Drosophila melanogaster: one gene and its partner. Changing the gene in region 2 together with the main gene of any one other region gives a genetic interaction. Each region holds a gene or a part of one and is shown on either strand. Other genes may lie near its edges. The genes, in order: en and cg.

Region 1 (6,833 bases), 2.6 Mb from region 2:
TGCCAGTAAATGTCAGCTGCTCATCCCGCCCCCTCCCACAATTTTGCATTGCATTTCGCGTTTGCATTTATTTTCAGCAAATTAACGCCGCTCGCCGCGAGATCTGTGCCAATAAATCATTTGATGACTGCTCCCTGCCGCTTTAGTTTTGCATTTTTTTTTTTCTTTCTGTTTGTTGGGCTTCTGTCTCGTCACAGATATTTGTTTATACTACGCGCGGATTTGGCTTTAATTAAACGGAATGGAATCGAAGAGCAAGAGCTGCCGTTACTCGTCGACGGCCTCCGATTTTGGTTCGGAATGTGATTGTGCAATTAGCGGCACCCTCGCCCGACGACAAGTGTTCGTGATTTAATGTTCTATAGCCTTTGATGTGACAGATGAAAAAGCGTAGAGAAGATAATGGCGCCCTACACAAAGTACAAATAAGGCCACCGATTAGACCGCATGTCCTCCGATATATGGGTGGCATATTTTCCTTTAATGTAGCAGACTTCCAATTCCCAGAGGAAACCAATTGCATTTTAATTTTTTTCCATAATTCTTTTATTTTGTTTTTAATTTTCTTTTCATGAACTTGCTTTAGCACAAACATTTCGTTGTTATTTTCTTAGGTGCATTTGCCAGCTATTAGTTGCTCGTTAACATTTCGCTTAGAAACTAAAATACTCTTTCATAGCAATCCTTAAGTGTGTAAACTAGGAATTAAGCTAGGGAACTGTTAAGTTACTTAATTTACAGAGCGGTTGCAAGCGCGTAATTTATAGGGAGTAATAACTATAGATAGTGTTTTGTGTAGGAATAAACGTCTGAAGGTCGAAGCTTTTGAAGTGCGGCGATAGCGATAGGCTTTGTGTCGGGTGATTACGATAATACTTTCGGCTATCCAGGGGTGGTTAAATAAATACGCCAACAACTTACAGCTCGAATTCGCTACGGATGGGTCTTACTCTAGGTTAGGATTATACGTATATATATATATATTTTTAGAGATATATACAAAAACATATGTACGCTACAATTATATCACATGAAAACCATTTGTACGCCCTCGAATATTGCACGCCCCCGTCAGAAGGAGTAACCCCTTATGGGTAACCATTGGTCAGCGCTTAGGGGATCTGCCCGTTCATGCGCATCTCGAGCTCCTCCTCCTCCTTGGTCAGCGGCACGGTGGTGTGGTTGTACAATCCCTGGGCCATCAGCTGCAGTGCCAGCGGATTTTTGGAGCCCGTCGACTTCTTGATCTTGGCCCGCTTGTTCTGGAACCAGATCTTGATCTGCGCCTCGTTCAGGCCCAACTCGCTGCTCAGCTGCTGGCGTCTCCGCTCGGTCAGATAGCGATTCTCGTTGAACTCCCGCTGTAAGTGGAAGAAATGGAATGCTGGATGAGTTTCGGATGGCAAGGATATCCATGTTGTATAGTCAGGTAGGGAAAATCAATTATTTGCGGTTTCGGCCGAGCGTGGCTGATTGGTTAAGTACGGACGGGACACCACATTGCCAGGATGCATTAGCAGCGGGCGGTGTCAATATTTTGGTGCAAATATGACACAACAAGCGTAGGGCAATTGGATATGGATATGGATGGATATTGGTATAACCATATAACCATATATGGAAAAAAGAACTGAATCTCACCTTAAGGCGGGCCAACTGCTCGCTGGAGAACGCGGTGCGTGGACGCTTCTCGTCGTTGGTCTTGTCCTTTGGCTGTTTGGGGCGGCGGTAGCGGGGTCCTGGAATAAACAAAAACACGAGAAATACGTTAGTTCTATTTGCATAAATGCGCCACATACTATTAATAATATTAATGATTCAATTAGCATATGTCTGGGCGGAATTCCTCGGCCGGAGCTGGAGCTCCCTTTCGCGTGCTGGCGGGGAAGTGTTCAATTTGTCAGCTGTCAGCGCAAGAGAAGAGTAGAACTCCGGCGAGTTAACGAACCCAAAGGTCTACGGCATATTTTAGGCAAATGATTTGCCAGCTAGCCAACTCTCTAATTAGCGACTAAGTCCAAGTCACCGGCTAATTGGCAACGCGGCACCGCAGCAATCCGTAGTGCTTATTAGATTTCCACACATTGTAAATTATAATTTAATTGACCGCCAGTAAGTGGAGATCGTTTGATTAATTCCTAGCCGCGGAGTGGGGCCATCAACGCCTCGCTTATGGGCTGCCATCGATTGCATCGACACCAAATTAAAAAACCATTGCCGACCATAAAAAAGCACTTAACTCGTCAATTAACACACGATCTAAGAAGAGCTGCAAGGAAAATCTCCGCTTGTCAATGGAAAACTCTTCTCCTTTCGAAGGGGCTTCCCCCGCCATCATATCTCCCCCGCACCTACTTTTCCCCTGTCAATCGTCAGCGCGTTTTAGGGTCTCGGCTTCTGCGTGGCGTGTGTGCGTGAGCGGTGACCTTCGACCTGAGGATCTAACAGTTCCGATAGACAAGCGCTGGCTCTGCGCTACATGTTGTCACATAAAGTGTCGCTCTTCAAAAGCAGCGCAGCACTGCGTGAGGCCCAAAATCGGATTCGGATTCGGATACGAAATGGGAATGGGAATGGGCATGGTTATAGAAATGGGAGTCAGATTCGGGCTCATTGCCATTGTCCGCGTGTCGCCTAATTGTGGCAGTGTCCTTCGGATTTATGACACAAAACAGAGCTGCTTGAAAGGCTGCCGCCAACATAACGCTCCCCAAGGGTGGTCCCCATGTAACCATATACCATTTACCATTTTCACATCTTTTTTTTTTTAACGAACCTTTGGGACTTCCTTGTTTTGACAACACTGAAGATGGTGCCCGACGAACCCTCTTTCTGACCCACTTAAACGCTAGGTAATCGCATAGATACTAACCTGAGCTGGGACGATCGCTGTAGCGGGTGCAGTACACCCAGGCGGGCCACATCTCGTTCTTGCCGCCCTCTGTGGTGGTGGATCCCGTCTCGGAACGCGTGTCATCCGAGGACTCCATTCCGGAATCTCGGCTAACGGCGGATGGCGGCGGGATTGGCTGCGGCTGGGGACTGCTGGCATTGACTCCGGATCCACTGGCTCCCAGTCGGCTACTGGGCGAGGAGTTCAAGGAACTGGCCGCCGAGGAGCAACCCGACGAGGAGGAGCTCGAGCTGGTGGCCACGGAAGAGGTGCTGCTAATGGTCGAGGCATTGGAGGCGGGTGGCGGACTGGCCAAGCTGCTGGCACTGCTACTCAGCGGAGGTTGGGTCATCGTAGGGGCAGCAGGTTGTCCGATCTGCGAGACCGCCTTGCACAGGGATCCCAGAGCAGATTTCTCTGGATTGGCATCGCTCATCTTGGAGCTCATGGGCGGCGGGATGACGGCATTGGCTGCACTCCTGCGCAGCCGACTCTGCACGATTTCCTCGTGTATCCTGGGATAGGCAGCCGGATTGAAGCAGTTAAGGAAGTTGGCCCGTTCCAGCATCATGGCCGCAGTAGCGGCTGCGGCGGCAGCCTGCTGTTGCCGGCTAAACTCCAGCAGATCCACTCTTGTAAAGGCGGAGGGCGTGGCAGTCTGGGAACGACTCGCCTCGAAGGGGCGGAATATGCTGGCCTGGTTCTCCATCGACTTGCCCGGCTTCTGGACATCTCCGAAACGATCGCTCAGGATGTTGGAGATGGAAAAGGCCAGCGAGGGCTTGGCCGTCGACTGCTGCTGGTGGGCGGGTGGTGGCAGGCGTCCGCCCGCCGACGTATCATCCACATCCACATCAATGTCGTCATCCTCCTCCGCCTCCTCCTCCTCGTTGGTGGTGTGCGTCTGATTGTGGAAACTCATGTCACCGATCACGGAGTCGCTTTCCTCCTCCTTGATGGTCAGCGGCGTGGACGAGGCGGGCGTGGAGCAGGATGCGGGCGATCCACTGCCACTGAGGCGCTGCTGCAGTGCAGCAGCATGAGCGTGGGCGGCCGCAGCAGCAGCTGCAGCAGCGGCGGCTGCAGCGGCATCGAAGGCCATTGCCGGATGGTGGAAGACACCGGCGGCCAGTTGCTGTTGGTGCAACTGCTGCAGTTGCTGCAGCTGGTGGAGGTGCTGCATTTGCTGCTGCTGTTGCTGCTGCTGCTGTTGCTGGTGGTGAAGATGCTGCATTTGTAGGGTAATGGGGCTGGGCGCTGACTGTGGACTGCAGCGATCCTCCAGGGCCATTGGTTTCGACTTGGTGCTAAATCGCAACTCGCTTAAGACACTTGTCACTGGGTCACTTGACACTGAGCCACTGATTCTTCTGATTGCTCAGAATCTTCTGATTCTCTTCTCTGTTTGGTGTTTTTTGTTTGGCTTATGCTTTCGTGTTTGATTTGCAACTGTTGTTCCGACACGCACGTCTGTTCACATCGAGCGCAACGACTGAATTAGTTGACTACTTCGGAATCGCAGCGCCGACGTCGGGGAGAGTTAACGCGAGAGCCGATTGAACTGTCACGGTGGAAAGAGAGGTCCGAGTGCGGGAGCGAGAGGGCGAGATCCCACAAGTAGCTGGCGAAGTGTGTGCGAGCGAGCGAGTGAGTGAGTGACAGCAGTTGGTGACAGTGACATGAAGAGATGAGAGTAGAAGATGTGTCTTTTCGGCCTTACACTGATCGATTTTCGCTCTCTCTTAGCCTTGTCACCTGCCCCATGCGAACCGGTTTCGCCGGCTCACTCACTCCTATTAGCTGGCCAGAGCGCTCTCTCGCTCGCTCCCTCTCGCTCTCACTCTCTCTTGCCAATTTGGCGAGGGGGGCTTGTTAGGCAGCAATATGACTTTATTATGCGCATGCTGGAGCTGTCAGCCGGTTGACAACTGTGTCCCCAGCGAACTGCGCAGGCGCAAGCTCTCCCTCTCTCACGGGGCGTTACCGAGTGGGGGTCATATAGCGGCACTGTTCACTCCCTCTGCGAGTAGGCCAGGAAAATGGCTGCCTTTCCATGAGGGGGAGAGCCACATGCCATCTCTTTCCACAGACACTTTTCATAAGCATTTAGTTTTTGTTGATTTTGTTTTCGGCCGCGACGTTTCAATCTGCGTTTTCTACAGCCTACAACTTTATCGACACCACCTTTAGGCCATGTGTAGAGGGGGAATCGAAAGAGAGGAAAAAAACCGCAAAGCTAATTGTTTTAATTTAAATGAAGGGAAACTTTTTATCACCCCCACTCCCACCACCAGTATCATTTGCGATTTTTCACAAAAATACGCTAAATACACGATGACAATTTATTTTTGAGGCCTTCAATTAACCAGTTAAATGTGCCTTGAAAAACAGCTGACGAAATTGATTGATATTTAATTGACATTTAATTTATTTATTTGCCCATCGAATATCGATTTGCCAGACGAGCGAATGAAAAACCATCGCTAACTGTCAAAATAAACCTTAGAAGGTGTTAAAAACGAACGCCATTTGGCATTGGACATTAACAATAACGCTTTTTTGTGGGGCTCTAATCAACCGACGATCTACAAATGTGAAACATGTGCTGCAAATAGTGTATAGATGTGGGATTCCGAACATATAACCACTGATATATAGCTCATAAATCAACGAATCTGTTCGATGTGAATAAAACCGAAATCAAATAACGAAATCGCTAATGAATTGCCTTATAGCTAGCAGATTTTGTTGTGTTAATTTTTGCATAATAAAAGCGATCGTTGCCATGTGGGCTACTGATTTATGGGGCAAAGGATTTAATTAGAGAGTAATCTCGCCACCACTCACACTCCCACATTTCCTGTTGCCAATTGTGACATAAGCAATTCGCGCCAACAAACTAACGCCCAAACAATAAGCCATAATCCATATTTAGAGCAAATTTCGTGGTTAACCTGTTCCACAATCAATGGGCCGAAATTTATTCAATTTTTATGCGCATTTTTATAAGTATCAAATGGACTTGAATCGAATATAAATTAATAAATATATTTGAACAGCTCAGATGCATAAATTGAAATTCCGTTGAGTGGTCTTAACCGTTTCGATTCGATCTTAACCGGTTCGAACGCACCTTCCAGTCTGCGGTCAGCCATTAAAAGTCGAAGTTGGAAAAACTGGAAACTGGAACGGAGCCAAATCTATTTCCCCTTTTGAATTTCGAACTTCGAATAGATAGTTGTCTCACTCGCTCTCGCACTGTGCGCTTCTCGCTCACTCTGCCCTGCTCTCTCACGCATGACAACAATGGCTGCTGCCTCTCTCTCGCACACCCCCTTTGACCATCTTCCTCTTACACATTCCGCTGTTGCCGTCGGCAGCTGTTGATTTTCCGCTCAACTTCCACCCTTCCACACCGTTCCATTCCCCTACACACTTTCCGCTTTGATTGCCATGATTTTCAATTATTACCGTTGTCGTGTTTGCTCAGCATTTGGCCACGAAAAGGGTTAAACTGCTGCCGACAGTTGCGTAAAAATGCGTTAATTAAAGTTTTCAACTTGTTTCTGATGCTGCTGCTGTGGTTGCTATTGTTGCTGTGGCTGCTTTTGCTGCTTTCCCGTTTGCCCTTAATGATAATGATGCGTCTGTTTGGATAAAATGGTAACTGCTAATGAGCTTTGGCTTTCCACCACTTCGGCTACTGTTTCTGTTTCTATTTCTGTTTCGGTTACTTTTCGATCTCTAATGGCTTTTTCTCAGCTTCGTAGCTGCCGGCCAAACAAAAGACTCAAACAACGAACTTGTCAGGGTGCCAAAACATACCAAAGAAACACATTACGCTGCATGAAAATTTTCATTTTAATGTCGGTAGATTTATATGTGCGATCATATCAACGGAATTCAAATGATGAGAATATAAGATAACGTTGTTAGAGTC
Region 2 (5,243 bases):
ACAGTAACAGCAATGCGTGCAACACTGAATCGATTCGATGGGTTTTTGATTCGTTTAGAATCGATCCACTTACAGTTCTTGTCGAGGCTCAGGACCTGCTGATTGTTGTCCTGCTTCTTGACCACCGTCGATGCTCCGCCGGCAGTGATAACTCTGCAAGGGATTGAGAATTAGGTATATGTACATTGGGGATCTCTTTGGGCTGCTGGAGCGCCAACGCACCTTTGTGTTCCAGGCGGAAATGAAGGATCGTTTACGACGAACATACGACGAACGACATTATTTTTGCCGCCAGCTGTAAGGCCTTTGACATCCTTTTGAACTGCCAATGATCCATCCGTCGATAGTAGATAGGGCATCTGGAACAAAGACTTTTAGTACTCATGGCTAATGGGGATAAATTAAAGGTTTGTCCTAATTTCTAAATAAACTTAATAATGCTTATGTTGTAGGAGTTGCATGTTTAGTTTACACGTGGTCCTGGGAATTGCGATTTTAGGAAAGCCTGGCTTACACATTTTTTTTATAAATCTATCTTTCATTCAAGAAATGTTACATATCAAACAACAAAGGCTCTTTTATATAAAAGAATAATAAATAATTTTTAATCTATGTACATTGCCCCTAGTCATTTCTACAATTTTAATGTCCCAAAAACGATTTAAACAAATGAGAGGAAGTAAACTTGTAGCAGTTTTATTGTTCAGCTCAAACTTATGAATGAATTGACCTTCATGAACCTTTTTTTTTTTGGGAAATTAAAACTTGGCAGCAAGTACAGTCGCCACTCGCTAAGATCTGCAGGCTGTGATTTGGAGTTGTTGGCGGTTGATGCTTCTATTGGCCAAGTGCTTGTCTTTTGTTTTCGCTCTGATTGATAATAACCGCCAATAACCACGCTACACCTGCGCAGCCAGCAGTGCGGCAACAGATGATAGACGACGAACGAGGGGGGAAGTTGGGCGCTAAGAGCGGGAGGGGATGTTCGCAAAAAGCGCGCCTTTTTCACTCTGTATGTGTGTGAGTGCAATTGGACATCGTGGCATGGGAGTGTGTGTGATGGGCGCCAAAATGGTGCGGCAAAAGTAATCAAAACACACGCACGACACCAAACGCACACTGGGGAGCACACGTCATTTCTGGTCGAGTGTGCGTGCATACATACATACACACACATACAGAGGGCAGCAAGCGCGGCGAATTCGGCACTGACGCACACATGCGGAGATATCGGGCGCGCAAGTGCGGCGAATTCGCCGCGTTTGCCATTGTATAAGTGCCCGCAAATATAAACTAAAAAACAACAAACACAATTTCTCCTGTCAATTGCACAACAAAAAATATTGCTCTCAAAAAAAAAGAAACAAACAACAAAAAAACCTATGGATAAGCAATAATTATTAATAGAACTTAAATTAGGTTAGCGATATATGCATGAATAGCCTAGAAAAATATCGATTAGCATCGATTGCCTGTACCAGCTGCCAGACTTTTGAAAATTTCACGACCTTCCCGCTAATTAACTGCTCCGATTTGCCTGTGGGGGGAATTTATTGCTATTTATTTATTTACTTGCTCGCCAGGTGCGCGTGTTGTATTTTGGGAATTTCTCCGCACACAGAGCCAATTGTGTACGCATTCGTTTTACAAATACCAAATTATGAATGTTTACGAATGAAATGGAAACGAAAAAAATCCGTATGGATGTATGCTAAAAGAATTCTAATACACTCGCTCCATCCCCCCCATAAAAACATACATACGTACGTTCATTCGTACATATTCGTATATTCGCATGACAACGCAGTTACATAAAGCGTGTGGCGTATGCATATATACGTTGTACATGTACGTAAGTATGTATATCGCAGTTGCTGTCGCTCGTTTTCCACGTATACCGTATACGTGAATGCCATTCGGGCCGTATACATACACAGTTCGTTGCCGAAAGCAGCGAGTGTTGGTGAGACGAGCGAGTCCGTGAGCGAGTGTAACGCAGTGCGTGTGTGCGTTTGTGTGTATGCATTGGTGGGCCACAACACAATTCGGTGTGGGAAAGCAACAGCAACAGCAGCACCAACACCCACACACGCACGCACCTGGAGCAATGTCGGCAACAGGGGGGAAATATCCTCAGACTGGCAGCTTTCAACGGGTTTATCAGTTTAATAGAGCTATAACTTTGGACTCACCGACTCCCCGCTGACTGTATAGTTGATGTTGGGCGATATCTCCAGTACCGATTCGGCGGCGCGGTTGCCGTTGTCCGCAAAACCCCAGGTATAGCCGAAGGGCGGCGGATTCTGGGCGGCACACATTATTTAGCACAATGCGGGTTGAGAAAGATAGAGAGAGAGGGGGAGCGGGGGGTTTTTTTTTTTGGATGGGAGGACGGAAGAGAAAAAAGCGCAAAATTTCCAAACGCAAATGTAATTGCACTTCTCGCTTGCTTGTGGTATATGTAGGTATGTATGTATGTATTCTAAAGCACGTACAAAATACTATCCTCCTCTCTAGTAGTAGTAAGTGGAAATTGGTAATGGTATTTTTGCGGCTGTGTTCGAAGCCAAAATGTACACAACAAATTCGAATACGTTTGGGGGGGTCTCTCTCAAGCACTTTTTCATCAATTATTCGTTATGTTTTCTTCGTTGGGGATATCGCACTGCGACGAAATCGAAATAAAATCACCGAATTCGCTCGCCGACGACGAGACGGGGGCAAGCAACTACTAACTATATAGGACCGAAAAGAAAGTCAAGTTGCTCTGGCTGCGGGCGCCATTTTTTTCCGTCCCTCGGTCTCAACGAAAAAAATTCACTTGGCGTTGGGGAACACACACTCCATTGATAACACACACTCTCCGTTTTGCGTTTAGGTGTCGCCTTGGCGTGGGTGTGCGTGTGCGCCGATGTGTGTGCACGCGCCCCGTGTGACGATGTGCAGTTTTTGCAATTAAATTTATAAACAAAACACTCTTTTTCCTTCAATATAATTCACAGACACAGACACCACTGAACAAATTCCTTAGTGTTCGTGCTTCTCGTTCTCTGACGCCATCTTGTGTGTGCGCAGGCCAGGGTTGTCGAGGTGCCGCAACTGTCTAACATGGGCGGTCGGAGGTGGCAACGCTGTTAGGGCTAACTAATAGTGTGACCCAATCGCTTGGTATTGTTAAATTTTCCCTCAACGGTCATGCTTTGCATAACAATTCACATTTTCTGATTGAAGAATCCTTATTTTATGCCAAAACTTGTATTAGATATATAAAATATCGGGATGTCTCTATCGCCAGCCAGTGGCATTGGTCGTTTCTACGCCAAGTCGGCAAAAATCATACGTTTCGTACGCCTGGGATGCACCAATCGGCCTTTTTATCACATTGTCGTCATGGAGGTGCGTACTTTTAGGCCATTAAAATGGTTAAAACTTTTAATTGGTAATTGTATTTTCCGGTTTAGAGGCGCAAGAACCAGCACCAGCCTGTCATCGAGCAGGTGGGCTCCTTTGATCCCCTGCCCAACGATTACAACGAACGACTGGTGGCCCTGAACACGGAGAGAATTCGCTATTGGCTGGGCAAAGGTGCACACTTGTCCACGCCGGCTGCAGAACTCCTGGGAATTGCCGGACTACTGCCCATCCACCCGCGCACCTACATGACCGCCTGGCGGAACCGGAGGACAGCTGCTGAAGCGGAGGCGTCGCCAGAAAAGGCGGAATCAACCGCATAAATATAGTTGTGCCTCAATAAAAGCCTCCTTTTCGTTTTTACGTTTAACAAACGGAGATTTCTTCTGGTTCAGCGAACACTGGTGCTCTTATCAACAACAAAATGAATACAGAATTAAAATTTATTGCAAAACGTAACCAATACGAGGTGAGGTTGGTGACCAGGCCCAAAACCAAATGCATGGATAAGCGAGAAGCGGTCGGAGCTACGGTACATTCGCCTTCTAGTCATGCTTCAGCACTCCAGCGGCTTTCTTCATGCCATCATCGATGATCCTGTCAACGGCTGTGTGCAAATATTGATCTCCTTTTAGTAAAATTGCAATATCTAAGAGGTGAATTTACTCACATTCGTGATGTTTCAGGAAGTAGGGTCGCACCAGCTTGTTGTAGATGATGGTAGAACCATTCTGTTCCGTGGGCAGCATGCACCAGATGAGGAAAGCACACTACATGTGGAGTTGAAGCATTTAAAAGAAGATTCTTATATGTGAAGAATGCAAAGCTCACCTTCAGCAGCCAGTAAAAGGGAATCACCGAAGTTAGCAGACTCGAAAAGAATTCAATCACGGTGAAGATTCCAAACGTGACCCAGTAGATCAGCCACTTGGTGTCGTCCTGCTTTGTGCTGGACTCGATGGCATGGATGGAAATATATGCAGGGTACAGAACCCCAATGATGTTGCACAGTAGTTGGGCGCCCCAGCCAAAGATCAGGTAGATGGCGCACAGACCAACAGCACCTACATATGATGAAATATAATACCTTATTAGTAAATAGCATTAAGTCACTGCTGGAGCTCTACCGTAGCGCAGGAGGGGGTTCTCTACGAACAGTTGGACAATTTTGCTCTCTAATTCCTCGACTGCCATGTTCGCCATCTAGTTGGTCAATTGATATTGCCCTAGTGGCGCATTTTCCCTTATGGCTATAAGCAGGTCCAAGGGCAGGAGCGGTTCCACAGGGCGCAGGGTGATCAGATGGAGTTAACACTTACAAACTTTAGCTACAAGACTAACTGTTCCAAGGGCACAGTGCCAGGTGCTCGTACAGCTTTCAAGGGCGCCCCTTCGTGGATCCCTGGGGTTTTTAAACCGCCCCATGCCGTTGGCTAATTATAAACCCTTAGCTGTTGTCAGTAGATGTCTCGACCTGCCTCTGATCCCGGCCAGTTGCATTTTGCCCACCCAGATGAGCGGACTACGGCCTGTTGTTTTGCCATAAATTTATGATGTCATTCATGCTCGATGGCGGCTAATTATATTTATACCCTGGCTGAGGGTACTTTAATTTGAGCAACATCATTGCAAAAAGGTGGGTTTCATTACAAGCCACAGAAACTATATCCTTAGTCGATCAGATCATTTGATGTGAATTGCGAATTCTCCATAAATGGTTGTTCCCTAATATGCATATATTTGTTTACACAATTTGTTTTGATTATTAAAGTATGCCGAACTGTTGAACAGCTAATGAGGCCAAATGTTTGTATGATGAATCAACGTCCGTC

Evidence for each region.
Region 1: of cg (region 2) and en, changing one enhances a phenotype caused by changing the other (phenotypic enhancement), as found in Drosophila melanogaster (one study listed by BioGRID).

What each region holds. Positions count from the first base shown.
Region 1 is NT_033778.4:11,523,487-11,530,319, forward strand, and holds en (engrailed), read right to left. Parts: upstream 4,725-6,833; 5' UTR 4,185-4,724; coding exon 2,873-4,184; intron 1,740-2,872; coding exon 1,642-1,739; intron 1,362-1,641; coding exon 1,113-1,361; 3' UTR 520-1,112; downstream 1-519. UniProt on the Drosophila melanogaster protein: This protein specifies the body segmentation pattern. It is required for the development of the central nervous system. Transcriptional regulator that represses activated promoters. Wg signaling operates by inactivating the SGG repression of EN autoactivation.
Region 2 is NT_033778.4:14,171,522-14,176,764, reverse strand, and holds the start of cg (combgap), read right to left. Parts: upstream 3,073-5,243; 5' UTR 2,319-3,072; coding exon 2,193-2,318; intron 360-2,192; coding exon 223-359; intron 154-222; coding exon 74-153; intron 1-73. Other genes in the region: mRpS16 (mitochondrial ribosomal protein S16), read left to right, coding at 3,280-3,396, 3,462-3,734; ReepB (receptor expression enhancing protein B), read right to left, coding at 3,957-4,018, 4,082-4,181, 4,243-4,475.